Mus musculus: one gene and its partners. The protein of the gene in region 2 interacts with the protein of the main gene of each other region in a pairwise test. Links are inferred from orthologs where the notes say so. Each region holds a gene or a part of one and is shown on either strand. Other genes may lie near its edges.

Evidence for each region.
Region 1: the proteins of Atxn3 (region 2) and Dnm2 interact in binary tests that used the Homo sapiens proteins (3 or more experiments, as listed by UniProt). The link is inferred for Mus musculus from reciprocal best matches to the Homo sapiens genes ATXN3 and DNM2.
Region 3: the proteins of Atxn3 (region 2) and Arhgap19 interact in binary tests that used the Homo sapiens proteins (3 or more experiments, as listed by UniProt). The link is inferred for Mus musculus from reciprocal best matches to the Homo sapiens genes ATXN3 and ARHGAP19.
Region 4: the proteins of Atxn3 (region 2) and D230025D16Rik interact in binary tests that used the Homo sapiens proteins (3 or more experiments, as listed by UniProt). The link is inferred for Mus musculus from reciprocal best matches to the Homo sapiens genes ATXN3 and PHAF1.
Region 5: the proteins of Atxn3 (region 2) and Ewsr1 interact in binary tests that used the Homo sapiens proteins (3 or more experiments, as listed by UniProt). The link is inferred for Mus musculus from reciprocal best matches to the Homo sapiens genes ATXN3 and EWSR1.
Region 6: the proteins of Atxn3 (region 2) and Tex11 interact in binary tests that used the Homo sapiens proteins (3 or more experiments, as listed by UniProt). The link is inferred for Mus musculus from reciprocal best matches to the Homo sapiens genes ATXN3 and TEX11.
Region 7: the proteins of Atxn3 (region 2) and Rad23b interact in a two-hybrid assay, tested with the Homo sapiens proteins (2 studies listed by BioGRID and IntAct). The link is inferred for Mus musculus from reciprocal best matches to the Homo sapiens genes ATXN3 and RAD23B.

Annotation. Positions count from the first base shown.
Region 1 is NC_000075.6:21,469,846-21,473,855, reverse strand, and holds part of Dnm2 (dynamin-2), read right to left. Parts: intron 2,514-4,010; coding exon 2,415-2,513; intron 1,244-2,414; coding exon 1,083-1,243; intron 1-1,082. UniProt on the Homo sapiens protein: Catalyzes the hydrolysis of GTP and utilizes this energy to mediate vesicle scission at plasma membrane during endocytosis and filament remodeling at many actin structures during organization of the actin cytoskeleton.
Region 2 is NC_000078.6:101,944,364-101,948,373, forward strand, and holds part of Atxn3 (ataxin-3), read right to left. Parts: coding exon 3,912-4,010; intron 3,686-3,911; coding exon 3,641-3,685; intron 1,557-3,640; coding exon 1,471-1,556; intron 1,104-1,470; coding exon 1,037-1,103; intron 1-1,036. UniProt on the Homo sapiens protein: Deubiquitinating enzyme involved in protein homeostasis maintenance, transcription, cytoskeleton regulation, myogenesis and degradation of misfolded chaperone substrates.
Region 3 is NC_000085.6:41,777,870-41,781,879, reverse strand, and holds part of Arhgap19 (rho GTPase-activating protein 19), read left to right. Parts: intron 1-530; coding exon 531-722; intron 723-2,671; coding exon 2,672-2,770; intron 2,771-4,010. UniProt on the Homo sapiens protein: GTPase activator for the Rho-type GTPases by converting them to an inactive GDP-bound state.
Region 4 is NC_000074.6:105,245,314-105,249,323, reverse strand, and holds part of D230025D16Rik (UPF0183 protein C16orf70 homolog), read right to left. Parts: intron 2,904-4,010; coding exon 2,770-2,903; intron 2,487-2,769; coding exon 2,403-2,486; intron 1,229-2,402; coding exon 1,146-1,228; intron 582-1,145; coding exon 538-581; intron 1-537. UniProt on the Homo sapiens protein: Plays a regulatory role in autophagic activity. In complex with BCAS3, associates with the autophagosome formation site during both non-selective and selective autophagy.
Region 5 is NC_000077.6:5,095,924-5,100,561, forward strand, and holds the start of Ewsr1 (RNA-binding protein EWS), read right to left. Parts: upstream 3,174-4,638; 5' UTR 3,099-3,173; coding exon 3,086-3,098; intron 2,883-3,085; exon of another isoform or gene 2,359-2,882; intron 1-2,358. UniProt on the Homo sapiens protein: Binds to ssRNA containing the consensus sequence 5'-AGGUAA-3'. Might normally function as a transcriptional repressor. EWS-fusion-proteins (EFPS) may play a role in the tumorigenic process.
Region 6 is NC_000086.7:101,056,495-101,061,163, forward strand, and holds the start of Tex11 (testis-expressed protein 11), read right to left. Parts: upstream 3,146-4,669; 5' UTR 3,019-3,145; intron 2,924-3,018; 5' UTR 2,902-2,923; coding exon 2,862-2,901; intron 1-2,861. UniProt on the Homo sapiens protein: Regulator of crossing-over during meiosis. Involved in initiation and/or maintenance of chromosome synapsis and formation of crossovers.
Region 7 is NC_000070.6:55,384,392-55,388,401, reverse strand, and holds part of Rad23b (UV excision repair protein RAD23 homolog B), read right to left. Parts: intron 2,993-4,010; coding exon 2,801-2,992; intron 1-2,800. UniProt on the Homo sapiens protein: Multiubiquitin chain receptor involved in modulation of proteasomal degradation. Binds to polyubiquitin chains.

The DNA of each region.
Region 1 (4,010 bases), on a different chromosome or scaffold from region 2:
GCACCTCTTAATTCAGGGGGGCCAGCCAAGCTATACACCTCTGGTTCTCAATAGCCCCAGGCTCTGTGGAGGGTTTTCCTTCCTGCCCCTCCACACTTTGGCCAGGTCCAGTGGTCTCTGCTTTTAGCCCTTCCTTTTTTTTTTTTTTAAAGATTTATTTATTTTTTTGTACATGAGTACACTGTCACTGTCTTCAGACCCACCAGAAGAGGGTGTCAGATCCCATTACACGTGGTTGCTGGGAATTGAACTCAGGACCTCTGGAAGAGCAGTCTTAACCACTGAGCCATCTCTCCAGCCCCCTTTATCCCTTCCTACAAGACACACTGCCCAATGCCTGCTGCACCTGCTCTAGGGATGCTGCTCTCAGCTTCATTCTGCACTAACCTCCAGCCACAGCTAACACTTGAGGAATTCATCTGGTGGCTCGTTTACCAGCTGGCTTTCCAGTGGACATTCCCTAAGGACAATGGCTCTCTCTTCAGGTCCCAATCTATGAGCAAAGAGGTCTTTGCTGTTGTTTTTTGACTCAGGTAGACTCTCACTTATCCCACATCACATAGCTGAGAATGACTTTGGCTTTCTGAGCTCCTGAGTGCTGGGATTACAGTAGCACCACCACACTGGATTTATTCGGTACTGGAGATGAAGCCCAGGGCTTCCACATCCTAGGCCTGCACTCTATTGCTAAGTAACACTCCCACTGTGGGGTTCTAAACAGGTGCTCTGCCACCAAGCCACACCCCCACACCCTCACTAGGGGGTTCTAGGCAGGCGCTCCAGTTTTCTCACTGTGTCGTCACTGTGAGTAAGGAGGCGTGAGGCACAGAGCAGTGGGTGGATACTGTTTACTGTATCCTGTCACACAAGGCATGTACCTTGTCCTGGACACACATGGCCTCACAGACCCCTACCCTAGGAAATATAAGGGCAAGATGGACAAGAGAAAGAAGGCATGGGAAAGCCAGGCCAGGATTTGTGCTCAAAGGCTGCACAGGGTTAGATTGCAGGAGTCCAGACTACAGCAACCTCCCATTTAGCTGTAGTTACCAGCCCTTGGTGGCCTCAAACCTCCGCTATACCTGGTTCAGGGTTTTCTGCAAGTGTGGGGTGCCCATGCGGTCAGCCATGTGCCGGTAGGCTGGGTGGGAGAGGAAGAATTTCCTCTCGGCTGCCAGAGCAGCCCGGATGTCCTTTTTGCCCTCGATGTCTTTCTGGCTTCGGTTAACCACGCCGATATAGCCTGAAGAAAGAAGGTCAAGGTATGCGTTACGCCAGGAAGGACATGGTGCTATGGCTTTGTGCTGAGCTGGCCAGGTGGAGACTAGAAACAGACTGGTCCAAAAATCACTCACGAGAGCGGGCACAGGGCAGCACTGAGCCCCACCAAGGGTGTGAATGGCATGGAAGGTAGCTGAGGAAAGCATCGTGAACTTCAAGGGCAGGTATGAGTGGGCTGGAGGTGCAGTTCAACAGGGACTGCCCCATGTAGTTGACTCCCTTTCTGGTCCTGCATTTCATCCCCCAGCCTCCACTAGCTAGGGAAGACTCAAGCAGCAGCAGTGTCTCTTTGTTATGCTTTGTTTGGGAAGCTGGGGAATGAGCCTGGTTCCTTGCATGTGCTGAGCAAGGGCTATACCACTGTAGTGGCTATTCCTGGTTGTCAACTTGACTATATCTGGAATGAACTACAATCCAGAATTGGAAGGCTCACCAGTGACCCTAATTTGGAGGCTGGGAGATAGAAGTTTCTGATCTGAATCTTGGTATGGAGATCTTGAGGCATAGTGGCTATGGATTCCAGAAGACTGGGAGTTCAAGGTCATCTGGGATTAAAGGTGTGGTGGAACACACCTTTAAACTTGGCTACACCTTCTGCTGGAGACCATATAAGGATATTGGAAGAAGGGAGTCTCACTCTTGCTCTTTCGCCTGCTTGCCATGTGGGGCTGAACAACTGCTAGGTCCTTGGACTTCCATTCACAGCTACTACTGAACGATTGTTGGGAATTGGACTGCAGACTGTAAGTCATCAATAAATTCCTTTACTCTATAGAGACTATCTATAAGTTCTGTGACTCTAGAGAACCCTGAGTAATACAACCACTGAGACTCATTTCCAGTAACTCAATCTATTTCTGATGAAACATTCTGTATTTGTTTGTTTGAAACAAGGTCTCATGTAGCCCAGGCTGACAGAGAACTTTCTATGTAGCCCAAGATGACCTGGAATTCCTGACCCCAACCCCACCTCCAGAGTGCTGGGATTACAGCAAGTACCGAGCACGAGTGTGGCTGCATACCTGCTTCTTAGTGTTCCAGAAAACAGCTGTAATGTAGAAACACTGTGTCCAGAGGAGAACCACAAAAGATACACCCCTGATCTGTGGCCCACCCCAGCCCTGTGTACATACCTCTTCTCAAGGGCAGTAGCTTGTTTTCCAGGACATCCCTGGCGTCTGTGCCTTCATCCATCAAGTCTAGCTTGGTGATGACACCGATGGTCCGTAGGCCTGAAAGAGTCCAGAGGTCAGAAGGGATCATGATCAAGGGCCCTTGGGGCCCTCTACAGTCCAAGAGACAGGGACAAGCCATGGTATCTTTTGCCTGGACAACTGTTGGCAGAGTATAAAATGACAGTTACTGCTCTAGTGACAGAACACTGGTAAGCGCATAACAAGACCCCAGCAGAACCAATGAACATCACGGAAACTAGAATCCCCCCTGCCCATTCTCAACATCACATTTGAACCTGAGCAACCTGGCCCAATTACTACTCCAAGGACCAGCCCATCAAAGTTCTCCCCAAGTCAACCAGAGTTAGCACATCCCACAGCAAAGCCACACCACCAAATAAATCCACTGTGCTTCTCAGCCTCCCTTGCTCCCGGATCCCTAGTTTGGGGTCCTGACCACGGTTCACCCGAGCAGTTTATAAGCTGAGCTTCCAAGCCAGGGTAGAAGCCCATGTACTCCATGGACTTGCCTTAGCATTCAGAAACCCTAGGTCGACCCTGTGCCAGGTGAGGTGCGGAGCACTTGCCAAGGAGCCTGGGCTCTTTCCTAAACATCTGGTTACACTGAGCCTGCAAGGTGTGCACCCGTGACCTCAGCCCTCGGGAGGTAGACTCAGGAGGATCACAAGTTTAAGGTCATCTCCCACTAAACAGAGTTTGAAGCCAATCTGGACCACAGAAGATCCTGCCTAACTAACAAGAACCACCTGATACATAAGGAACCCAGGCACCGGCTTGGACACACCTGTGAATGTGTTGCCTGTATGTTCCATGTGTGCAAGACACACAGAGGCTAATGGAGGCCCACAGAAGACTGGGATCAACTTGGCCATCACAGGTGACTACCTTAGCTGGCACTATTGTGAAGTGGGTACACCTATAAGAATTCATAGTTGATAGGGAAGAGGCCACACTATGGAGAGAAATGAGTGGAGAGGGGCCTGAGCCATGGTTGCCCAGGAAGCCAGCTGCTGAGAAGAGAGACAGTGAGGGTGAGGAGAGGGTAACTGTACAATGGGGCCTGCCCACAGAGTAACACACTATCACTATAATATAAAGTAGGGCAAGGCATGGTGGCTTGCTGTAATCTTAATATTTGGGAGGGGGAGGCAGGTAGAATCTGATACTGAGACTGCCTTGGTCTACACAGTGAAGTACAGGTAAGCCAGGGCTACATTCTGAAACCATGATTGAAAAATAAACAAAGAAAAGTTGCAATCAACAAAAGCAATGACCACAGAGGCACAGACAGAAATAAGGAGAGACTGTCCTCTTAAAAAATAAGTTTACGTGTAAGAAAAACTTTGAAAGGAACTGTGGCCAGCGCTATCTACATGGAAAAAGGGAGCTTTGCAGGCTCCTGATTTTTCCATGGTAACTTTTCTGTAAAAACCATGAGTATTTTCAAAGGCAAAAAAAAAAAAAAAAAAAAAAAAAAAAAAAAAAAAAAAAAAAAGAAAAGAAAAAAGAAAAAAAGAAAAGAAAAATGTGCTC
Region 2 (4,010 bases):
TACTTAATTTATATGAGTTTACTGTAGCTGTCCTCAGACACACCAGAAGAGGGCATTGGATCCCATTACAGATGGTTGTGAGCCACCATGTGGTTGCTGGGAATTGAACTCAGGACCTCTGGAGAGCAGTCAGTGCTCTTAACCAATGAGCCATTTCTCCAGCCCCTTTCTTTTTATTTTAAATAACAGTTTTACTAGGGCACATAAAGTGCCTTCCCGCTCCCCCATCTCTCTTGAGGGTTTCATTATGTGGTCCAGGCTGGTCTCAAGGTCTTCCTAGGTCAAAGGTGTGGGCCACAGCACTGGGATAAAACTGCACATAATTATATTTCCACTTCTACAGTTTGTCGTTTCAAAGAATCTCTATCACCCACATCAACATGACCGAGACTGGAGCACCCTCATCAGAGTCCCGTCTCCAGGTCCCTCTGTGCCTTCTCTCCAACTTCAGCCCTACACAAGCACTAGTCGGTCTACTTTCTGTCATTAGGTCTTAGCTCCCATTTCTGAGATTCATCCACGCTGCGAGTATATTAGCAGTTCATTCCCTTTGACTATATAAGCTGGTTTTCAATAACCTTTAGCAAGCTCTAACATTCTAGTAAGGCCTTACGTGACTAGTTTAAAGCCACGTTCAGTGGTAACTGTGCACAGATGTAAGTACTGCCAGACACTAGAATCGCCTAAAGAAGCCCATCCCGTAATGCGCATTCCCACCATGATCTCAGGCTTTGTTGTAGTACTATGCTAAACACAAATCGTCACACAAAAACATATGTAACGGTAACCACATATGCACTGTTTTTACTACAAAATTTTCATTATGACATAACATATATAGGTTTATTTTTAAAAATCTGAAGAGAAGATGATTATCTTCTCTTAAGCTAGGAAATTTTTATCTGTTAAATTGAGTCCAGACTTGGGTAGAGTGCACAGAATCCTAGGATACATTCCAAAGAGACCAATATCAAATTTTAGTTTCAAACAGAGTACAGATTATGATAAAAGGACAAGAAAATAGAAGATATATTACCTGCTTGCCTAATTTTCTAACTGTAAACCAGTGTTCTTTATAATTGCATATAAAGGATCTTTCGTTTCTAGAAGAAAACAAAACATATACTGTTAAGTTGGGATAGTAGAGATGTACTAGCAAGTATCTCCTATCATTTACTTAATGACATACTTAATTACTTATTAATACTTAATTACTTATTTGAAAAAATAAAAGTCGCATCACTATGCGTCTCCCATAGGAGCTTAGTGATGCTAAGCACAAAGCCCCCACAGGACTCAGGGCAGGGCCACCACTGACACTGAAGAAAGGCACCAAAAAGGTGACGGGGTGAAGTCTAAGGGCATCAAATACAGAATAAAGCAAAGACATTCATGATGATTTTGTCCTCATTCAGAAATTACAGCTTTAAAAATCAAATCTAAATAAAGAAATATAGGAAAAAATCTTACATAGGATCAATTCTGAGCCTCTGGTACTCTGGACTGTTGAACAGGATTAGTTCTAAACCCCAAACTTTCAAAGCATTGCTTATAACCTGTCAAAAGAAAAATAACAACTTTTCATGAGCTAAACCTTCAAGTCCAAGTTTAAGTAGCACAGCTACTATAAGCAACTATTCTTCATATATAGTTTGAGGATATAGCTTTTACAAATTATGTTCCCTTGACACCCCACTAAATCCATAAATAATATATACATGTGAACTTAATTTTATTTCATTGCAAGTTTTAAAGATGTATTGTTTTATTATTTTTTATCTAAGTGTGTCTGAGTGCCTGTGGAGGCCAGACGGCATCAGGTGTCCATGTAGGAGCTACAGGCAGTTGTAAGCAGTCTATCGTACATGCTGGGAACTGAGCCGGTCTTCTTCTGAAATACCATTAAGCATTCTTAAACGGAAGCCATCTCTCCAGCCCCTCACATCCATTTTGAAAGAGAGCTTTTCCATTCTGAGGAATGTCAGAAAAGCAGAGAATTTGTAGATAACACTGTCTCACACATCCAGAAGCACGCCACACTGTGGGTGCTGTTTGTAAAACTATCCCTTCCTACACTTACTACCTGCAATGGCAGTCACCAAAGGTGTATAGTAAATAAATTCTCCCTGGGGGTTGAAAAGAAAGGTCTGGGCACTGGGGAGATGACTGTGGTCAACAGTATACACTGCTCTTACAGAACCCAAGCTCAGTTCCCAGCACCCACGTCAGGGCTCCCAACAGCCTGTAATGTCAACTGCAGGGTTCCAGTGCCCTCTTCTGTCCTCCACAGACACCAGCACTCATGTGCACATATCCACACATGGGCACATAAATCTTTAAAAAGAAGGTTTGATGTATTTTAAACTTCCATGAACAGAAAATCAAACCTGATGATAGCAAGCTGAAAAAAAAAAAGAGAGAAATTAAGACAACATTCCACCTGTTATCCCAGGAAGTCAACAAAGAAACATGTACAACTCAGACCAACTGCAAGTGCGAGAGAGCAGAGATGGAAGCAGTGCCACACAGGACACCACAGGAGACTGCTGGCTCTCACCTGTACTCTCAGCACAAGCCCACTGGGCCTCACAATGTCACAAGTGAAGTACTGGGTGGAAATGCTAGAGAATGAGGACTCTAGAAGGGTGGCATAGAAGGAAAGTATAAAGAAAGACACTTGCATAAGTAGATCTCTCAAAAGACAGATTCAGAAAGAATTTGGACAACGCTCACATTGTCAGAATGGACTTCACAAGTACACAAACGAAGTCAGGCATCCGTGCCCAGACTTCAACCCCAACAACTGGGATGCCGCAGCAGGGCTTTGTTCAAGGCCATGCCATGCTAGGCTACAGAAGGACAGACACAGACACACACACGTATATGCATGCATGTATGTATGTATGTATGTATGTATGTATGTATAACCACAGGGCTGGAGATTTTCTCTAGAGCAGAATATTGTCTTAGATATCATCCCCAGCACTAAAAAGAATAAACCAACACAGATAAATAGAACGTAAAGTACTGGGATGTGGCTCGGGGTCAGTTTGAGCTCGGCACATGCAAGGCCTTGAGGGCAATCTCCATACCAGCCTTCAGAGGGCTACAACCTACCCAACAGGAATCCAATCCTGGAGGATGATTTAAATAGAAGACTGCAAGACACTGCAATTTCTCAGACATGCCAGAGATGGGGAGTTTGAAGCACTGAAATTTATTAGAGTTATTAGCACCTACATGCAAATTAAGCAATCTCTCTTAGAAAGTAATTTTTAAAAGCCCCACTCTAAACTGACTGTGGTAGCACACACCTATAATTTCAGTCTGGAGACACAGAGGGGAAGACGATCACAAGTCTCAGACCAGCGAGGACTGTATAGGCAGCAAGGGCCTGCCTGTCCTAAGCATGTGAGCAGTCAAAGCCGTTCTAAAGTGAAGAGTCTACTGTCCTGTGGTCATCTCTGTACGTGTAGCACTCTGCAGTGTCTTATCTTCTGCAGACAGTTTACAGAAGGAGCTGCAGAAGCCTCCATCGTTACATAAAGAGCTGTGGCACACTGTGGCACATCAACCACAACTGAGCCTCAGGACAAAGCGGGGCTGGAAATGAGGCAGCGCTGCACTCTGGACTACTTACTTGAATAGAGAAAAAGCCGCTGTCATCCATATTTCCAGAAGGCTGCTGTTCAATTTTCATGGGCAGTAGTTGTGGGCAGAGGGGGATGGGAAAAGGGTTAAAATTAGTGTGCACGTTTAAAAGAACACGCTGTACAACCCCATTTCCCAAGTGAGGAGGAGCAGAGTGATAATTACCGAGTCAGACTCCTGGGGGAGAACGGCTCATCCTCCTCTAAAGAGCACCCGCATTTCCACAATAAAATGGGGCTCAGTGAGTCGAAAATCAGTACCTGTAAAAATGTGCGGTAGTCTTCACTAGTGACTCCCCCTTCTGCCATTCTCAGCCTCTCCTCTTCATCCAGCTGGTGTGCAATTGAGGATAGCTCCAC
Region 3 (4,010 bases), on a different chromosome or scaffold from region 2:
TAGGTGTGACTAAGTAAGAAACTGCATTTTAATCCTAGTTTAACTAGGCGTGGTGTTTTTGGAGAGCTGTTGCTTTTATTCCTTCCACGCAGTTTGTGTGGAAAAGAGATTCAGCCAAGGCCCAGCAGCCATGGGCTCTATGGTTGGTTATCACTTCAGTGTCTGGATGAAGTTAAATTTCACCTTAAGCCTTTGTTTTTGTTTGTTTCTTGTTTTTGTTCTATCTGCTGGGACTAATACTTTGGGGCTTACTTTATTGTATAGCAACAAGTACTACTTGAAATTAAAAAGTGTTCTGAAAATCGAACTCAAACAGCTACAATTGTTTATGGCAATATTGTTTGGTGTCTTAAGACAGGGTATCACTATGTAGCTCTGGCTGTCCTGGGATTGGCTCTGTAGGCCAAGCTGGCCTCAAACTCACAGAGATCCAGCTGCCTCTGCTTCTGGAGTTCTGGGATTAAAGGCGTGCATCACCACTGCCTGGCTTGGCAGAATTCTAACTGCATGTTTTATACATTTTCCTTTAGGATGACCTTGATCTGACAACCTCATGTCATAACATGTCCTTCCAGCTGGCAAGATGTCAGAGACAGAACAGGGTAGATCCTTCCTCTCAGCAGGAGGAGACCCAGCAGCACACAGAAGAGGCGCTGAGAGAACTCTTCCAGCATGTTCATAACTGGCCAGACTCCGCGAAGAAGAAACAACTTCTCAGACAGGTGCCTGGGTACAGGGACATAGGTGGGCTCTAGGAATCGCTGGAGAACACCACTCAGAATCACATTGGAACAGGCTTTGGCTCAGTCAAAAAAAAAATCAGGCTTGTCTGTGGAATTGCAGTTCTGGAGAGAGGTGTCAGAGTGCTTGACTCTCTGCAGTTAGCTGTGCTTAAACATCTGTAATTTTAGTCACCTGACAAAAACGCTCCAGGGTTTGTGTGGACCAGCAGCTCCAACGTACCATTCCAGGACTGCAGTGCTGTGTGCTCCCTAGGGATATAATTTCTGAATTTCCATTTCCAGCTTTGTGAAACAGTTGTAGCATGCATACATAGAGCTTGTAAAGGAGGAGAGGCTGGCAGAGCAAAAGAGGCAGCTCTTCCTGATGGATGGATGGATTGTTTGTGGTTAGAAAACAGCCTAAAACAGGGTCCTAGTGTATTAAACAGGAATTCTGGTGTCTGCGTTTGCTTATTTTGGGGTTTTGGAGGTAAGGTTAGGTCATTCATTTGCTACTTTGAGGACTCAGTATGACTTGAGTGAATCCTTCCTGGTTGGGAGTCTCTCAGGAGATTTGTCTTAGTTCCTTTGGATTGTGCTGTTCAGGCAAGGCCAGTGCATCAGTCAGTCCTCACTCCCTGTGCAGACTCCTGGGGTAGTCAACATGTGAAAGGAAGGAGTTGCACTTGGCACACAGGGGTGGAAGTTTCTGTCCTTGACTGAGTGGCCCTGTGGGAGGCCTGATATTAAGGCACCAGCATGAGCAGGGCAAAGCAGTGCACCACATGACCAGGTGTCATAGTACCCCTTAGAGGCCGTGCCCCTGTGAGCCAGTACCTCCCACCCCTGGCTTTGGAGGACATTGTAGATTGAACCGCAGTAGTCAGCTCTTCATTCTTGTTCAGCTTGTTCCTTCTTTGGGAAAGACTGCCTTTATTTTGGGGGGAGGGGTGCATCTCTAGCATAAGGCAAGATAAAGAGGTATCAGACACTGCTGGGGACTGAGCTGTTCCCATCAATGGACAAAGTCCTCTACAAGTGTTTTGTCATGGCCATAGAGATGGTTTTAAGAGTAGCAGAACTCAAGTGTGGTGTTAGACATCTGTAATTCCAGCAGTAGAGAAGTAGAGACAGGTAGATCTCTGTGAGTTCAGCTAGCCTGCTCTACATAGGGAGTTCTGGGACAACCAGAACTTGGTTAAAGACTACAGTGCCTCCCCCTGCTGCCCCTTTTTTTAAACTGGAGATGTCTTTATACAAAGAGCTGACAGCATTCAAAGTCTGCGTTCAATCTCTTTCCCTTCATAGCAGTGCTGGCTGACAGAGAGTTTCAATACCTTAGGAGCATTCTGGCTTAGGAGTTCAGTTGGTAGAGGGCTTGTCCTCCATTCATGCACCCTAGGTTGGATTCCTGATGCCTCATAAACTGGGTATGGCCATCTAGGTTTATAATGTCAGGACTTGGAAGGTAGAGGCAGGAAGATTAGGAGTTAAAGGTCATCCTTGGCTATATAGAGAGTTGAGGCCAGCTTGTGCTACATGAGACTCTATCTTAAAATAAATCCTGGCATATAGTTTGTTAAACTGGGGACTCTCATGGCTTATGCTATGTTCTGCTTCCAAGGTACTTGATGCAAAAATAATTCTGGTTTGCTAGCAGGTCTGAGACAAGCTCTTAAGCACTGTGGGTCCTGGTTTCCTGTCTGTAAAGCAGGCATGGGCATCCCTTGTTCAGAGAATCTGAGTCTTAGGACTTCTTCAAGTAATTGAGTATATTTTGTGTTTTTGTTTTTGAATGTCCCTTCTGCTTTTGTGATTGCCTGTGAACCTACCCTATACATCTAGGGAGTCTTTGACTTTCTAAGTATCTTCACTCAGGTATTATTTGCCCTAGGTTGCTGTTTCTTGATGGCACAATGTTAATACAATGGTCTCTGTATTTTTTGTAGTTCCATAAGCAGTCTCTGACTCAAACACCAGGGAGAGAACCTTCTACTCCCAGGGTCCAGAAGAGAGCCCGCTCACGCTCCTTCAGTGGGCTTATCAAGGTAAGCCTGTGTTCCTGCTGCCCACATCAGTTCTCAGGAAATTTGCGCCTTATTTTCTTGTGTTTAAACAACTTAATTCTGTTCCTTGGAGTCCTAGAAAGGGTTAATTAGTAAGGAGACAGAAAAGGAAAAGTTTGGAAAAGGCCTTCTTTTCTTTTTTAATTAAAGATTCATTTATTTTATATATGTTAGTACACTATTGCTCTCCTCAGACACACCAGAAGAGGGCATCAGATCCCATTGCAGATAGTTGTGAGCCACCATGTGGTTGCTGGGAATTGAACTCAGGACCTCTGGAAGAGCAGCCAGTGCTTGTAACCATTGAGCCATCTCTCCAGCCCCAGGCCTTATTTTCTAAAGCATTTTACTATGTTAGAAATTGAAGGAACACTATAGTGGGAAAGTAGTACTGGCCTTCCCTCCTCCTGGGGTCTGAGGACAGGAGTCTCTCTTGCTCCCTGCTTCACTCTTAGCTGGGGACGAGGGACGTTGTTGGACATTGGACTTTCTAATGCTCCCAATGAATTTTGTATCTTTTATTTTGGTGAACTTAATATTTTCACTGTTGTTTCTTTCCATGTATCAAAATGACTAGAAATCTTGTTTCTAGAACAAATAGAAAATGCATTTCTGTGTCATTGCTGCTGTCACTAAGTGTGCAGGCTGCTGACCATTACTGCAGTTAGTGGGAGCTGCTGTCAGGTTCAGTCACAGGGTTCACATTTCTTTCTTTGTATTCTTTTCTCATCCATTACGTCACTACCTCCGTTTCTCCTCCCAGCTTCTATCCCCCACTTCACACCTCCCCTCTTCCCCAGATACACTCTTTCTGTTTCCCTCCAGAACACAGCAGGTCACTCAGGGATATCTATCCATTGAACATGGCAGAACAAGTTACAATAAGACCTGGCACCTCCCTCATATCAAGGCTGGACGAGGCAACCCAGTAGAAGGAAAAGGGTCCCAAACACAGGCAAAAGAGTCAGAAAATCCCCCAACTTCCACTGTTAGGAGTCCTGCAAGAACACCAAGCTACACAACCACAGAGTGTACATAGAAGACCAAACTCAAACCCATATAGGACCCACGTTTGTTGCTTCAGTCTTCACAAGCCCCTATGAGCCTTGCTTAGTTGATTGTGTGGACTGTGTTCTCAACCTCTCAGATCCTACAGTCTTTTCTTCTCTTCTGTGGGGTTCCCTGACTCTACCTAACGTTTGGCTGTGGGTCTCTGCATCTG
Region 4 (4,010 bases), on a different chromosome or scaffold from region 2:
GTACACAGGGAGCAAAGGCAGGTTGTTTGGAAGAACGTAGAAAGGCAAAGGGAGGCCAATCTTGGTGTGAGCTACACTAGTTGGCCATGGGCACAAAGGATGTGTAAGGCACACTGGGTGTTAATCTGCAGACAGGAAACTCCTCTGTCCACTAGCCAATAGTGCCAGTCACAGGAGAACAAAGGATCATCCCAGAGGAGATAAGGCTCTAAGGCTCTAGGGAGAAGACAGTGAGCAAGGACACTGCCAGCCCAAGCACTACACTTGGCTGGCTTCTCCTCTTTCTTCCTTTCTTTTTTTTCTTATTTATTATTATATGTAAGTACACTGTAGCTGTCTTCAGATACCCTAGAAGAGGGCATCAGCTCTCATTACAGATGGTTGTGAGCCACCATGTGGTTGCTGGGATTTGAACTCATGACCTTCAGAAGAGCAGTCGGCTCTTAACCGCTGAGCCATCTCTACAGTCCCCCTCTACTTTCTTCATACAGGCAGGTAACTGCATGTCCCTTTAACCTGAGGGGACTCTCGACTCACCTTTCTTTATGGCCAGTGGGATCTTGAACTCACAGCGGTGGTAACTAGAAAGAAGACAGACAAAGATAAACCCGTTTCTCGGGAGGCCTAACCACTCTTACATCTCTACTCAGCATCCCAGAAAAGGCAGAAGCCCATGTTACCTGCCCAAAGTCCTAGCTTGGGATCTTTCACAACATTCACTGGGAGGAAGGCCCAACTCAGACACTGAAGCCCAACAGAAAAGCACATGGCTTTCAGGTCTAAAAAGACTACTAACTATTGCTATAAGCGATAAAAGTTTCTGGTCGGACACAGAGACTCATACTTGTAATCGCAGAAGGAGGAGGCTGAGAGATGAGGATTGTTTTGAGTTTGAGGCTGGCCTAGGTTACACACATGCACCAGACCATAAGACCCTGCCTATAAATGCTAACAGTACACACAGATGTACTGGGCAGGGGCACAGAAGGCACCTAGCATCCATTTATTTCCCACAAGCCAGAAGTGTCAGGTAGAAGCCGTGAGTGCCTTGAGTGCCGACAGCCCACTCGAGGCACTGGGTTCAACGGCCAGCACCACATTCAGCCCCAAGTTCTGTTCCTCTTGCTCACCTAAGGTATACTCACATGTTAAAATTATAATGCCCAGGGTAATTGGTATGCAGGACAAACTTCTTCACTTTGTGTGTATTTGCATCAAACAGGATGTCCTGACAAAGGAAACAAGGTGTTCAAGTATGAAAAGTCAGCAAGGCAGGTCAGGGGCCTTTCCAAGAGAATTCCAACTTGGAGCATTCAATCATGAAAACACTAGGAACTTCCTTCACATATTTAGAGGCCTTAACCAGGCATCTTTGGTGGAGGGGGCCTGGCAGGAACTGGGGTTCTAGTTCCACTGTTGGCAACTTGAACAGCAAGGAAGGGAAATCTTATTTTTCCAATGGGACCTAGCATTTTTTTTTAGTCAAATGCAGATTCCGGCTCAAAGCCACCAAGAAGACTCAGGGCAGTTTACTCTGGAAAGGTTCAGATACCCACCTACGGAAACACTATAACCAAACGGATCCCAGCTTCTATAAAAATTGACAAGTAATGGAAAATAACCATTTATCAGAATTGAAACCTGAATTTGATGCCATATGCTAATCATTTCCTCTTGTAACTACTAACTTTCCTAGGCACTAAGGGTAATTTCTTGCTCTGTCTCTTTACCAACAGAATGCAACCTAAGCTATCCATTGTTGCCATCTTCCTCACTGGTCCTTGAACTCTGACTCTCTCAGCCCCATTCCTTCCTGGCACCTGCCATCCTACCCTCAGAAGTCTGTCCTCACAGAGCTCCCTACAGATTCCTGGCTTGTGTAGGTTAAGCAGCCTTTTTCTCTCCCTCTCTATAATCTACTTTTCTGCCTTTAGACTTCAGAACATTGAAAGCTCAAAGCCACTTGAGGATTCATGGTCCAGTTGGGTATAGTAACACATGCCTGTCCTCACAGACACGAGATCATTGTTAAGTCTGAGTCTAGCCTTGGCCACACAACAAGACCCTGTCTCAAACCAAAGTTAAAAAACAATGATGACCGACGGCACATGCCAACTTGGCACATTTATACAAGCATCCTATCTACCAGCCAGACTGTCCACAGTCCCCATATGTGAAGGACTTTCCTCGGGACAGAAAGGCAAGATGTACCAGGAAAGCCAGTATCGCAGCATTCCTCCATAGTCTTGACTACACTGGGATACCAGAACCCATGAAAAATAGACCGGGCACAAGCAAAAAAGACAAAAGTTCTCTGATTCCCGGGAGGAACGGTCACACAGCACCTGACAGCGCCCTGCCTACGCCAACAGCAGTGAAACCCGTTAAGGCCTCGTACTTACCACTCCGAGAGTAAAATAGTTAAAAAAGTAGTCGTTGCACTTGGACGGAACTTGTTTATGAGGGGAAGGAGAGTGAATTTTCATCTGTTGGGGGGAAAATAACAAATTAAAATCCCTTTAAAATAGCCTCTAGTTATACTGTGCTCCTTATGTAACACTAAGCTGTTGGATAAGTGAGGCTGAGGAGCCAGGTCTGTTAGTGTGGACACATCTCCAGGTTACAGAGATGGTGCCGTTACACCGGAGGGCCCGCGGGAAGCTTTTCCTTCATGGAGAACAGACTATTCAGGGGCAGACCTCATCTATGCTGAAGTGCTGAAGTACTGGGGACACAGAGGCTATTCACACTGTAAGTACCTTTCCCTACCTTGTCTTCAGATTTATAGAAGACTTTGTGTGGAGAGCCAAGCATGCTAAGAACATCTTGGCAAGAATCACCAAAATACACCGCACGCTCAAATACTCTCATTTTGGCATCTGCTAACACTCCAGGTCCACAACCTGCAGACAAGGGAAAAGAAGGTTCTGCTCAGAGCTGGAGGCACTGTAACCCAAGGGGCTCCAAAAAGCTAACAACTACCTCCTGACCGATCAGATCGAGCCAAAGGGCAAGACTATTAAAGTGTAAGTACCGGATTAACAGGTTAATTAAGCAAGACTTTGAAAAATCACTATTTGAAAATTGTACCAGGGATCCTAGAGGATTACCTAACAATCTTTAAGTATTTATTTTCTTTTTTTATCTTTAATATGCATTTCTTTCTGAGCCTGCTGTTGCATACCTTCAATCCCAGCCCTCAGAAGGGTTTCTCTGTATAACCTTGGCTGTCCTGGAACTCTCTATAGACCGGGCTGGCCTTGAACTCAGGGATCTGTCCACCAAGTGCTAGAACTAAAGGCATATGCCACCAGGCCCAGCCTTTTCTTTTGCTTTTGAGACAAGATCTCACATAACCCGAGGTGGCCTCAAACTTGCAAAGGAGTCAAGGATGACCTTGAAATCCTGATCCTGTGCCTCTGCTATCGGCGCTATGATTATACGGGCAGTGTGACACATGCTCAGGTTACCTAGTCGTTCTTCATTACCTACCATGGGCTAGAACACTGTGCTAGGTGTTGGGGAGATTCTGGAGAGTAAAACTGCCTATGTCTCCCAGAAAGGTCTACTGTTAAGAGTTTACATAGATATGGTATAAACAGAGGCAGCTGTGGGCATTACAAACATGAATAAAAAGCCTCAGACTTGTGGTCCTTCTGTCCCAGCCTCCAGAGTGCTAGGGTTAAAGGCATGTAGTACCACACCATGACAACATCAATTGTACCCTCAAGACCACTTTTCCAGAAGAGTCACAATGACATATGTGTTGGTTCACTTCTTAACCCTACAGAAAGTCTGACAGTATCTCCAACCCAGGGAATAAGAGTGTTATCATTTGCGCCGGGTGTGGTGGCTCACGCCTTTAATCCCAGCATTTGAGAGGCAGAGGCAGGCGGATTTCTGAGTTCGAGGCCAGCCTGGTCTGCAGAGTGAGTTCCAGGACAGCCAGGGCTACACAGAGAAACCCTTGAAAAATCAAAAAAAAAAAAAAAACCAAAACAAAACAAAAC
Region 5 (4,638 bases), on a different chromosome or scaffold from region 2:
ATCAGAAAGTAGTCCCTCACCCAAATGTAACAGCTGACATCTTTCTTCATGGAAGGCTCTGGCATACGCCATGCAAAGTCTGCTTCACAATCCCCTAGCCAACAGTACTTTCCTGAACTCATTCTGCCCCCCCTTTGGCTTTTTCTGAGACGGGGTGCAGCCCTGGCTGTCCTGGAACTCACTCTGTAGATCGGGATGGCTTTGAAACACCCGCCTTTGCCCCACAAGTGTTGGGACTAAAGGCCTGCACCAACACCACCTGGCCTGAACTCACCTCTTAAAATCGACTCTTTCAACCTTTCTGCACCTCATGGGACTACTTTCCTTCTACACTTTTAAATTCAGAGCTCTGATTACCAATAGTATCAGTAAACTGTTCAAAAGATATCTACAATGAAGAAAATAATCCTCTAACAAAATTCTGAAGCATTTCCAATAAAGCTACATTTTCTGTGGTGGTGAAGTAGTGGTTCTGAGATAGGATCTAACTACTTAGCTGGCTGACCTTAATTAGTTATATAGACCAGGCTAGCCTCAAACTTGCTACAGACCCCGTATGGCTGTCTACAACTAGTGTTGAAATTATAGGTGTGTACCTCCATGCCTACTTGCTACCTTCCTTTGTCTACCTTTCTGCCGTTTATTTGTTTGTTTATTTATTTATTTATAGACAGGGTCTCACTATGTAGCTTTAGCTGGCCTCAAACGCTGCGCTCCCCAATCTAGGATTAGATGATGACTGGCTACTTGCCACATTCTTTATATGAAAAACAAACAACAAAGCAAATACTGCAACCTACATTTTGTTGAGGTTTCTGTGTAAAAACGACTTTTTGAGTCATTGGCATTAAGTTTGATGTTTACAAAGACTTACACAAGAGCAGTTATGTAAAATTGGCAATGCTGATACAGAACAGCCAACCACTTGAGACGAGGGTGCTGCCAAAGGATTTGGTAGGCTAAGGAAAAAGCGACCCCCCCCCCATGTTTATCTACCTACAAGCATGACACTGAAGCAATGGTCAGATAATTTAACAATTGAAAAAATAAGTCTTTAAATGCCCGGATACGTAAACACTTCACACACACACACACACACACACACACACACACACACAGAGCAGGCTGAGAGATTATGATGTAGGGGCATCCTAGAATGCTAATGTTTTACTTTTTGTTCTGGTAGTTATTTAGAGACTGTAATTCTGCTTTACTGGACACACTCTATAGTTACTGTTCTACAAGATACAGAGGAGGGAAACCATTACTCCCCTTAGGCAGTGGCTTGCTTCAGGGCAGCCATTAGCCAAGCTGAATAGGAAGGTTTAGGCTACATAATTCCTGTAGCTAGCAAGGGTAAGTTTGTTGGGACCAAAAAAAAAAGTTATTTTAAGAACTGAAAGGCTCAAGAAAAAAAATTTTTTTTCTAGGACAGGATTTCTCTGTGTAGCCCTGGCTGTCCTCAAACTCAGAGACCACCTACCTCTGCCTTCCCAGCACCGGTGCATCGCCACCGACCCTTTAAAAAAAGTCTAAAACTAAGTTTTTCAGGAAAGCCCTTAATAAAGTCCCCTCAGCAGGGCCAGGACTGTGGGTATAGCAGAGCACACTTTTCAACTTAAATTTGGTTCAGGGTGCTATCAACATTTTCTGATAACAAAGATGACTAAAAAGTGGCAATGATCTATCAAGCAGAAAAACTGCAATTGCCTTCTTGGGCTTTAGAGGTTAAGAGAAGGGTAAAAGGACCACCAAAGAAACCATTTTCCACTAGGATATATTGGACTGTAGTCGTATCTCAGTCTTCTCTTAGGGACACTTTGGGTAGCCTGGTACCAAAAGCAAGCTGTTTACTAACTACATCGTTTGCGTCGTCAAATTGTGATGCTGGAAGCTTTCCTAAGCCAAATGAAGAACCCAGAGCTTTTCCTGTCACCCCCACTTGTTTTCTCCTCCTGCCTCCAAGGCCACATCACCAGACCCTAGATTCCGCTAGAAGCAAAAACAAAAACAAACAAAAAACCCGCCACTGTGCCAGTTAACTGTATTCTAAACTGCAGGTGAGGGCTAGGCTACACTTATTCTCTCGGTAAGGACCACAACATAACCATCACATTCTAGAGTTCCCGCCCTGGACTTTCAAAATCCGCTATGGGTCTCTTCCCCTGGCCTCAATAGGGCCAAGAAATAAATCAGCCGGCTAGCTTAACGAGCAGGCCTACAGAAACGTGGCGTGCCGAGGCTTTTCTGCCTCTCCTGGATCAAAGCTGCTAGAAATCTCTTTCTGGAAAAGAGTCTCCTCTCCGGATCCAGACGGACCTTGTTATACAACCGATCCCCCGCGCCGGTTGCTGAGAAAAGGACACTGGGAAGCCACTGCTTTTTGGGTAGGGAAGGAGGTGGAGTTAACTCATGATTAAATCGAAGCCTCTTGAGTGGGGAGCACGAAGATTTAGGGGAACCAACTAGGTCCTCCGAGGGGGCAGCTTGGTCGGGCCGGGCCAGGCCTGGGGGATAATGGGGCTCCCCTCTTAAGCCGGCGCCCCTCAGCTTACACATTCGCGACGGCTTTTTGTTTGTTTTTCTGAGTCCCTACACAGTAAACACTTGCCCTGGGGCTAGCGATGGGAGGAGACGTTCCACGGGAAACCGGCCACGGCTTCTCGAGCCGCCATCAGACACCTCGCTTCACGCGCCTTCGGGGTGATGGGCTCCAGGCCCAGCCGCGGTCCCCTTCGGGCCCTCGGAGGCCCTAGGCCCGGCCCACGTGGCGAGAGACCCGGAGCACCCGGCCCCGACAACCACCACACAAAGGAGGCCTGGACGGGCTCTGCACGCCTCAGCTACCGCGAGGCCCTCGCGCGCAACGCGGCCGCCAAAAGGTTCCAGAACCAGCCCGCCTAGTGGGGGAGGGGAAGGGAACGCGGATCCCCCACCCCCACCCCCGAGCTCGTCGGGCCGCGGCGGGAACTCCAACCCCTTTCGGCGACTTCACTCAGTCATCCCTGCCACCCCCAGAGACGAGCGCCTCCCAGTCTGGGTGTCCCAGCTGTCGCCGGCGGGACCGCGATCCCACTCCGCTTACCCGTGGACGCCATTTTCTCGCCTTCCTCCTCGTTCTCTCAACGTCCGTCTCCTTCTCGCGTTCCCCCTAGGCGCCGCACTGCGCAGGCGCGAAACCCGCAACCTCGGACGCTACCATCGGGCCAGGCCTCGGGGGTGGCCGAAGAGGAGCGAACCGGAGCTCTTCGGCTCTTCGCTCCCGAAACCGTTGACCCGATCCTCTCCCAAAGAGCCGGACGTGACGAGTGGTCTAAAAAAAAAAGGCGCCTCGGGGGCCAGCGCGCCAGTGAGCGAGGGTTACCCACGAACCCGAGAGCTCCTTGGCGCGAGGCGCGGTGGCTCGGAATGGTTACGCCCGCTGGCTCTAGGGACCGTCTCTGAAGAGTCTGCCCTGGAGGGAGACGGAGGCTGGCGGGAGGGCTGGGGGAAGGGATCCCGGCCGGCCTGAAACAACTGCTGACTAATCGGCGGGCGGGATCACGCGCCTCTGTGTGCGTGCAGCGGGTTTCGGGCACCGAGGGCTCGGCCTGGAACCGGCGGCCGGACTTACCGGGCGGGCCCCCCTGCTCGGTTTTCTAGGGTGGGTGGGGGTGGGAGGACATGCTCCCCAGGCCCCTGGACGCGTGGCCTGAGCGGGCGGGGGAGGGGACCGAGGGCCGTCGGCTTGGGAGGGAGGCCGGGAATGCCGCGCCCGACCCCAGTAACGGTCGGGGTTGAGAAGCCCTGTGATCGTCCTTCAACCCATCCCCTTGTTTCAACAGAAAACCCAGAACCCACGAAATTGAGTTCTTTCCTTAAAGTTACAAAGCTGAATGCGACCCAGACCCCGGGCCTCCCCTCTCTGTACACCGCCCGGAAGCTTCGCCACACTGTCCTTGCCTTCCCACTCTGTCCTCCTGGCTTCCCTGCAAGGTAGGCAGGGTGTGATATGCATAGCTCTGAGGTCTCTGACAAGGGCTCCAGAAAGACACTGAGGCGGATTGTTGGCGATTGGTGGGGTTTTTGGTTTTGCTTTTCTGAGAGTTACTGACACAGTGGACAGACACAGACAAACATTAGCATGGCGGGCGAGGACTCGGAAGAAACCAGGGTCCATGTGGGAGAAGTAGGCGTGTCGCACCCTTCTGAGGATGGGCGTGGCTTCAATGCCGGAGCTTCTGGCCCGGGGCAGGCAGGGAAGGGAGCTGGGAGCCCGATGTGTAGCCCCCCAGTTCCCCATTTTATGTAAAATCACCTTCAGGTGAGAGATCCAGGCGTCCGAGTCTGTTAGTTCGCCACTCATAGTGTCTCACTAGAGGCCGGTCGGAATCTGAAGGGGAGAAAGGCGTGTATTGTGTTCTAGGAGGAGCAGCTGGATTCATTATTGGATTCTTACAAGTTACGTTTTATTAATTGAAGATATGGTTGCAGGAGTGTTACGGCTTGCCTATGATGTATGAGGCCCTAGTTTCCATTCCTATCGCCAAGAAAGAGAAGAGACTGGTCCAGAGGACTCGAGGCCCAGTTCCCTATGTCCATGGACCTGTCCCCTAGTGCCCAGGGATGGAATGGTTGTAAGAAGGTGCAAGAGGAAGC
Region 6 (4,669 bases), on a different chromosome or scaffold from region 2:
CTGAAATATGGCATAAAGAAGTTAACTTGCCTAATACCAACATCATTAAAAGCAAAGCCTTGAGCCGTATCAAGGCAACTACACTTCAACTGGCATCCAAGCATCCAGAAAAAAATAAAACCACAGCAGCAGTGGGGGTACTGTTTGTTTGTTCCTGAGACAGGGTCTCTCACTATGTAGCTTTGGCTAGCCTAGGACTTGCTATATAGACCCACTAGTCTCACAGAGATCTGCCTGCCTCTGCCACCCAAGTGCTGCGATTAACCATTTGTTGCAGAAAATCTGACACCTTCTTCTGACCTCTGCAGGCACCAGGCACACAGATAATGCACAGATGGACATGCAATCAAAATACCCTTACATATAAAATAAAAATAAGTGAATCTTTTTAAAATTAATTTCATCTATTTATTTATACTGTTTAATGTGTCTACTAGAATATTTTAAATTAGGCAGTGGTGGCACACGCCTTTAATCCCAGCACTTGAGAGGCAGAAGCAAGCGGATTTCTGAGTTCGAGGCCAGCCTGGTCTACAGAGTGAGTTCCAGGACAGCCAGGGCTACACAGAGAAACCCTGTCTCGAAAAACCATTAAAAAAAAGAATATTTTAAATTAAATATGTAGCTCATTAATTTCTACTAGGCAGGGGCTGGTATTGCATACAACTATATTCAAGGTTTTTTAAATACATTTTTGGCAGTTTCATTTTATATCCTAAGGGGGCCTCAAATTCACTATGTAGTTCAGGATACCCTTAAACTCACAATCCTCCTGTGTTAGCGTCTGGGAGTGATGAGATTACAGGTATACACCACCACACCCAGCTCGATTTTCAAAAGACTTTATAGAATGAGCAATCATAAATACATCAGTAAAAGAAAATATAAACTTGGATATTATAATAATAAATCACAAGGGCATCTATATAACAACAAACTAAAGAAGCTAAAAGTCCAAACAAAGGAAAATAAGAATTTGTCTCCAAACCTACCATATGAAAAGGTATATGTGAAGCTTACTCAAGGCATGGTCTCATTATACTGCCTAGGATGGCCTCAAACTAGCCTCCTATCTTTCAGGAATTGCTTGTGTGTGTGTGTGTGTGTGTGTGTGTGTGTGTGTGTGTGTGTGTCTGTGTGTATGTTTGTGTGTTTCCGCACACGTGTGCACTTATAAGTGCATATGTGTAACATGTCACCAGTATAGAGGTCAGAAGACAATCTTCCAGAATTTCTTCTCTCCTTGCACCATGTGGATCCCAGGGATCAACTCGGGACACCAGGCTTGGTGGCCAGCATCTTTACTGGCTAAGCCATCTCACCTGCCCTTACAGTTAGTTTTTCTAACAGTAAATAAATTTTAAATTTCTTAAAGATAAACTTCTTTATAGCCCTGAGGTTGAATGGCTTGTGGATGGCAGCATTTTTTTTTCTGAAAAAAATCATTTTACAAGCAGAACATACAATACTTCGTTGCCTTGATACTATAGAAGCAAATATGCTCGTTCCTCAAACCCCTGCCTTAGAGGCAAGCTAACTGCCCTTATTCAGGCCTTACAATTAGGACAAGATAAGATCTTAACAGCCGCATCATCTCCAAGAATAAGTTTATATTGTTAGCTGCCCATCTGCTTGCAACAACTTCCTGAATGTCCTTTTTTTTTTTTTTTTTTTTTTTTGGTTTTTCGAGACAGGGTTTCTCTGTGTAGCCCTGGCTGTACTGGAACTCACTCTGTAGATCAGGCTGGCCTCGAACTCAGAAATCCACCTGCCTCTGCCTCCCAAGTGCTGGGATTACAGGGATGCGCCACCACTGCCCAGCTTAAATATACTTTTTACACAGTATTTTTTCAGGTTAAACAGTATGATTCCGCATCTCCTAAAATTCCTGGGGAAAAGCTATAGATTATGACCAGAAAATAAGCTATGGATTGTCAATTTTGTTTCCTTACACTAGTTCATAAAAGGTTCCAAATATTATTTCTGGTACATACATGAGGAAAACTGGTGCACTGAGTACTGTGAAAAGACAAACTTATGAGACAAACTGCACTGCTGGGCCTCCACTCCAGGGATTTACATGTGGAAGGCAAACACTGCCACAGAGCTCTCTCCGAGCTTGTTTTCATTTTGTTTGGTTTTGTTTTGGGAAACAATATTTGAGGTGTTGCTCCAGCCTTAGTCTTACAAATGCTGGGATTATAGGCCAGGTGTGGTGTTTGACACCTGCACTCTGGAAGCTTAGGTAGGAAGATTGCAAGTTTGAGGATAGCCTGGGCTACATAAAGTTCTAGGTCAGCCTGAGACACAGAGTAAAAACTCTGTCTCAAGAAGCCAAAGAGGAAGCCAGGCGGTGGTGGCAGAGGCAGGCGGATTTCTGAGTTCGAGGCCAGCCTGGTCTACAGAGTGAGTTCCAGGACAGCCAGGGCTACACAGAGAAACCCTGTCTTGAAAAAAAAAAAAAAGCCAAAAAGGGGCTCTTCCAGTCTCTTTGGCCTCGGAGGTAGAAGCAACATGACAAAAGGAACGGCATCCTTTGGAAAGCATCCCAAAAACAGGCACACATTGTACCGCCGGTCTCCGTGGCTCTAAGGACGACCACTATCAGAAATCTATCTGTGGCAAACGTGGCTACCCTGCCAAGCGCAAGCAAAAGTCTAACTGCAGTGCCAAGGCTAAGAGACGAAGTACTGCAGAGACTGGGCGGATGAGACACCTTAAAATTGTCTATGGGAGATTCAGACATGGATTTCATAAAGGAACAACACCGAAACCCAAAAGGGCAGCCGTTGCAGCAACCAGTTCATCTCGAGGATTTCAATCAGTCATAAAATAAATGTTATCATACAAAGCTTGCTTACCTCTGAAGTCCAAGAAGTAAAAGTCAGTAATGCGGTCCATTTTTTAAATGTCTGGCTCCAGCCTATGGAACACGAATATATTTTAATATTCTGTCCTCAAGTCTCTAATTTCTCAAAAAGACACTTCTGCCAGAAAACTATACCCATTACTTATTACCTGAAGGTGCAGGGACGTTGAGGAAGCTGCAAATCCAGGAGAAAGTTGTTAAACAGGGAGGCGTCTGCTCTCCCACACCCGAAACGCTTGCTGGCGTCTCGCGTCTCCGACTCCGTCTCCGTCTCTCCGTCTCTGGTGGCCCGAAGCCGAGGCCGGAAGGAGAGATTCACGCTTTACCAGAGAGTCACGCTCTGTGATTGGTCTGTCTGTCACTCAGTGCCCCGCCCTCGTCGTGCAGACAGAATGAGTCACGCTCTGTGATTGGTCTGATTCAATGTTCAAAAACTCTCGTGCGCATCCCATCGGCCCCTCGTTCTTGGATGCGGTTTTTTTGGCGCCTTCTTTCCCGCTCTTGCACGCCTTTCCGCTAACAGTCACTGAATTGGCGCTGAGCTTCCCGCCGTCCATAACCCACCACCACCCCCCATCATTTAAATGACCAACTTCCGCTGCCCACAAACTTCTCGTTCCAAAGATATTGCCTCAAAGCATCTCTAAGAAGTGGCGCAGCACTTGGGAGGCAGAGGCAGGTGGATTTCTGAGTTCGAGGCCAGCCTGGTGTGAGTTCCAGGACAGCCAGGGCTATACAGAGAAACCCTGTCTCGAAAAACCAGAAAGAAAAAAAAAAGTATGTTCAAATGTCTGTTTCTTCTTGCTAGTTCTAAAACCTGGGCTGCAGATGTGGGGTCCCGAGTTCGATAACACACACACTTGAAGCTCTGATGTCATAACACACACACATACACACTCATACATATACAAGATGAACGAAACCACCTGACAAGACCGGAGCACTTGCTATCCATTAAAAAGCTCCCCGTCTCTGCTTCTCGTCAAAAGCCACTCCCGTTTGGCCTTTACGGTATATTGATCCTCCGCCTTGGAATCCTGTCTAGATTCTCTATATTGGATAAAACCAGAACAAGACTATCAGGACAAGGTCTATGATGTAAGACCAAAAGTGCACTGCCCTTAAAGGAAAGGACAGATGGCCAGGATTACAGAAAGAAAAGAATAAGAATTCACACACATGCACACTACAAAGATGGCGGAGGAATAGTAGACAGCGCTGCTCAGTGTTTCAAACTGGCAAGGTATCCCAACACAGTAGCACAGGCTTGTAAAGTCTCAGCAGTCAGAGGCTAAAGCAAGAGAATCCCTTGAGCCCGGGCATTCTGGATCAGCTCAGAAGCGTAGCAAAACCCCAGCAAAGAAATAAGTAAGTCGTGTCAAAATTCAGAAAAATAAGAAATTGTGCACTCTGAGCCAGGCGTGGTGGCGCACGCCGCACACCTTTAATTCCAGCACTTGGGAGGCAGAGGCAGGCAGATTTCTGAGTCCGAGGCCAGCCTGGTCTACAGAGTGAGTTCCAGGACAGTCGGGGCTACACAGAGAAACCCTATCTCGAAAAAACCAAAACCAAAAAAAGAAAGAAAGAAAGAAAGAAAGAAAGAAAGAAAGAAAGAAGGAAGGAAGGAAGGAAGGAAGGAAGGAAAGAAAGAAAGAAAGAAAGAAAGAAAGAAAGAAAGAAAGAAAGAAAGAAAGAAATTAATTGTGCACTCGCCAGGCAGTGGTGGCGCACGCCTTTGATCCCAGCACTTGGGAGGCAGAGGCAGGTGGATTTCTGAGTTCGAGGCCAGCCTGGTCTACA
Region 7 (4,010 bases), on a different chromosome or scaffold from region 2:
CAAAACAAAACAAAACAAAACAAAAGCTGAAAAGAGTTGGGCTGGGAGCAGTGGAGGCAGGGGAAACTTCAGGATGTATTGTTGACTAAGAGAAAATACCAATATTTCAATGATAAAAGACAAAAACAAGCACATTTTAAACACACATAAAAATCATTAACTGACAAACATTTAAGATGATCATGGAAAAACAGAAAACTAAAGATTCAAATTGCAAAGAAATAAAATTTAGAAACATTCCTTTTGACAAATGAAAAGTGTAATGAAGTAAGAATAACAGAACTTTCCCATAGGAAAACGAGGCCCAGATGGCAACTAATAAAGTCTGCCAGCTCCTTAAACAATCAAGACCAATTCTTAAATTCTTCCAAAACTACCCTCTACTCCTTCTGTGGGGCCACAATTCCCCAATACTGAAACAATATATCCACCATCAGGAAACTACAAAGTAACAGTTGTTATAAAACAGACAAAAAGTGGGCTTTATCCCAGGTATGCAAATGATGCTTCCATATAGTATAAACTACTTGTAAGAATGAAAGATGATCCTTTGATAAACTTAGAGAAAGTATTTAACTTGTTATGACAAAATCTTCACACCCTGACACTGAAGAGGAACTTCCCTAACCAGCAAGCTCCATGGGAATAAACTAACAATGAGTTCAGCAAGATTTTGGGGAATATAAGATCACCACAGAAAACCAAACTGTTCTTCTCTGCAACTAACAATGAACATTTTGAAAATAAAAAGAACAATTCCTAACAGCATCAAAAAGAATAGTTCTTAGGAAATAAACTCAAAAGTAATACAAAATTTTAATTTTTTTTGTTTTTTGAGACAGGGTTTCTCTGTGTAGCCCTGGCTGTCCTGGAACTCACTGTGTAGACCAGGCTGGCTTCAAACTCAGAAATTCGCCTGCCTCTGCCTCCCAAGTGCTGGGATTAAAGGCATGCGCCACCACGCCCAGCCTAAAATTTTAATTTTTAATTATTACAGCTACAATATATCACTGACCATGCCTTGGTAAGAATTAAGTTGTTTTGTTTTGAAATGATCTTACTACAATCTTAAGACTGCACCTCCCGGGTATTGCATGCTGCAATCCCAGTGCTTGCAAAATGATGGCCGAAGAATCAAGACTTCAAGGTTATCCTCACCTACATACCAAGCCACCATAGGCTACTATATCAAGATTGCTCAAATGACAAGCCCAAAAACCAAAAAGAGGGGAAGAAAAGATAGAGGACATTTCTCAAATTCATTTCCAGAGTAAGCATAATAAGGGCTCTACACTCAGCCAGAGTTCACCCCCTGAAAATGGACAAGCCGACCCTGAGGCTTACACAGAAGAATGAATGAGGATCTGAAACAGCCACAGTTATTTTGTAAACAAAATTGCAGCACTCCACACCCTCTGATTTCACACTTGCTGATCAGTCATTCTCTGCCGGAGAAATGAGTCAATTCAAGCCAAATTGGGGGAAGCTCTGGGGTAAGTTCACCAACCTTACAGGAGTGAAGCAGACATGCAGACAGGGAGACAGAAGGGGGGGGGGCAAATATTGATTTGGGGTGTTGGAGGGGAGAATTCAGAGAGGAGAACAAGGGAAGAGAAGAAGAGGGGAGGGGAGGGAACTAAAATGTCTGGGTTATATAGTGAAGAGCTGGTGGGTGAGAGGAAGCCCAGCCCATGGGTTGTAAGGTTCAGCATACATAGTGGGGTACACCAGTCATGGCCTGTAACAGGTAGGGACTGAGGGATGCTGAGAGAAACTGGAGGCCTGGTACACTTTGATATGTTAAATATGCACTTCATATTGCAGACCACTTGTCTGAAGCCTGAAAGCCTGAAACCTTCCTGGAAATGTACAGTAAAGGTGGTGGGGAATGAGGGACTGGCCTCGATGGCTATGGATAAACATAAAGCAAAGGATTAAAACTGAGCCCCAAAATAACCCTGACACATCCATGCACCACTGACCGGCAGTTAGTCCTTACCACAAGAACTCAGGATGGATCACAGCCCGACACGTAAGAGCGACCTGTGAGCTCTTTGAAAGAATTGGAGACCTGAACCTGACTTTCACATGGATTAAGTAATGTTCTATATAACACCAAGAAAACAGACCAAATAATAATAATAATCACAGAAAAACAGAAAAGGAAAAAAGCTACAATGAGAAACCAATTGAAGCCTAAGTACAGAAGAAAATTAAAGCCAGACAAGGGCAAGCACATCTTTATCTCAGCAAGAGAGCAGAGGTCTCTGAGAACACAGGGCTCTATCTGATTAGCATCCCCAAACACTTCATAACAATGTGAAACAATGTAAAAAGGGAGGGGGAAATGGAGCTACTGATCACAGCATTACACACAAGACATAGGCTGTTGCAGGGCCTAAGGCTGTACCAGTCCACTTGTTACGACAAAAGAGATGGGTAATGTCTCATGTTTATTGTACACCACTCACACGTAATTTATATACATAATTCATATACATATTTAACACTTTGGGGACAGTAACAAAGTAAAATTTAAAATATGGGAAATGAAGGATTTTTAATTAGTTTGGATGTTTAGTGCTTTAGTCATACTTGATTTAGTACTTGAAGTACTTTAAGGTACTGGAGGCTGTTACTGGGGCCAAGAAAGGACAAAAAGCAGGGGATGTGGCTAAGAGAAACAATCTCTACTGCAGTCCCTGGGACAAAGGAAAGAAATGCCACAGCTGCATGGTAGCAGGAGCCACTAGCCCAGGTGCCAGGGTGACCAAGGAACCCCAACTGTACCTAAACTCACCCGTTCTATAGCTTCTTTCTCCTGAGGTGTTACTTGAATGTAATTCATGTGCCCACTTCCAGCTTCTGCAATTCCTCCACCGCCTCCTCCGCCACCGCCTCCTCCGCCACCACCTCCTCCACCTTGACTGCCTGCTTCCTGAACTGGTTCATTCAGCATCTGAATAAAATGCTCCTGGTGTTGGCTAATTTGCTGTAGTGATGGAGAAATGGAAGAAATAACACATAATTACTGTCTGTGGAAAAAAAAGCAAACCTAAATAAAAACAAGAAAAAGATAAGCCAGGCACGGGGAGTCACACTTTAATTCCAGCACTGGGAAGGCAGAGGATCATCTTAGGCATGGCTGAGTCATATAGTAAATTCAATTCCAGACCAGCTCTATCTAAGAGTCAGAAAGAAAGTTAGTTTTAAGTGATTTCTTATATTAAGAAATCACTTAAAATATAAATATAAGAAACACAACAGTTCTGAAAGGTAAATGATGGAGAAAATACAAATTCTTCCAAAAATACTCCACTCCCAAAACAACATTAAAGAGCTGGGGGTTGGGGGGTTGGCAGACGCCTTTAATCCCAGCACTCGGGAGGCAGAGGCAGAGGCAGGCGGATTTCTGAGTTCCAGGCCAGCCTGGTCTACACAAAGTGAGTTCCAGGACAGCCAGGGCTACACAGATAAACCCTGTCTAGAAAAAAACAAACAAACAGAGCTGGGGGGGGGGGGGCAGTGTGATGGCTCAGTGAGTAAGTACACTGACTGCTCTTCCGAAGGTCCCAGGTTCAAATCCCAGCAACCACATAGTGGCTCACAACCATCCTTAATGAGATCTGACGCCCTCTTCTGGTGCTGTCTGGAGACAGCTACAGTGTACTTATTTATAATAGTAAATACATCTTTGGGCCAGAGTAAGCGGGCCTGACTAGGCCAGACTGGAGCAAGCAGGGCTGACCAGAGCGAGCAGAGGTACTAAATTCAATTCCCAACAACCATATGAAGGCTCACAACCATCTGTACACGTACAGTGTATATATAATAAATAAATAAATCTTAAAAAAGAAAAAGAAAAAGAAAGAAAGAAAGCAAAGCAAAGCTAAGCTAAGCTACCATGGGGGCTGGAAAGATGGCTCAGAGATGGTTAAGAGCACTGACTGCTCTTCCAGGGGTCCTGAGTTCAATTCCCAGCAACCACATGGTGACTCACAACCATCTGT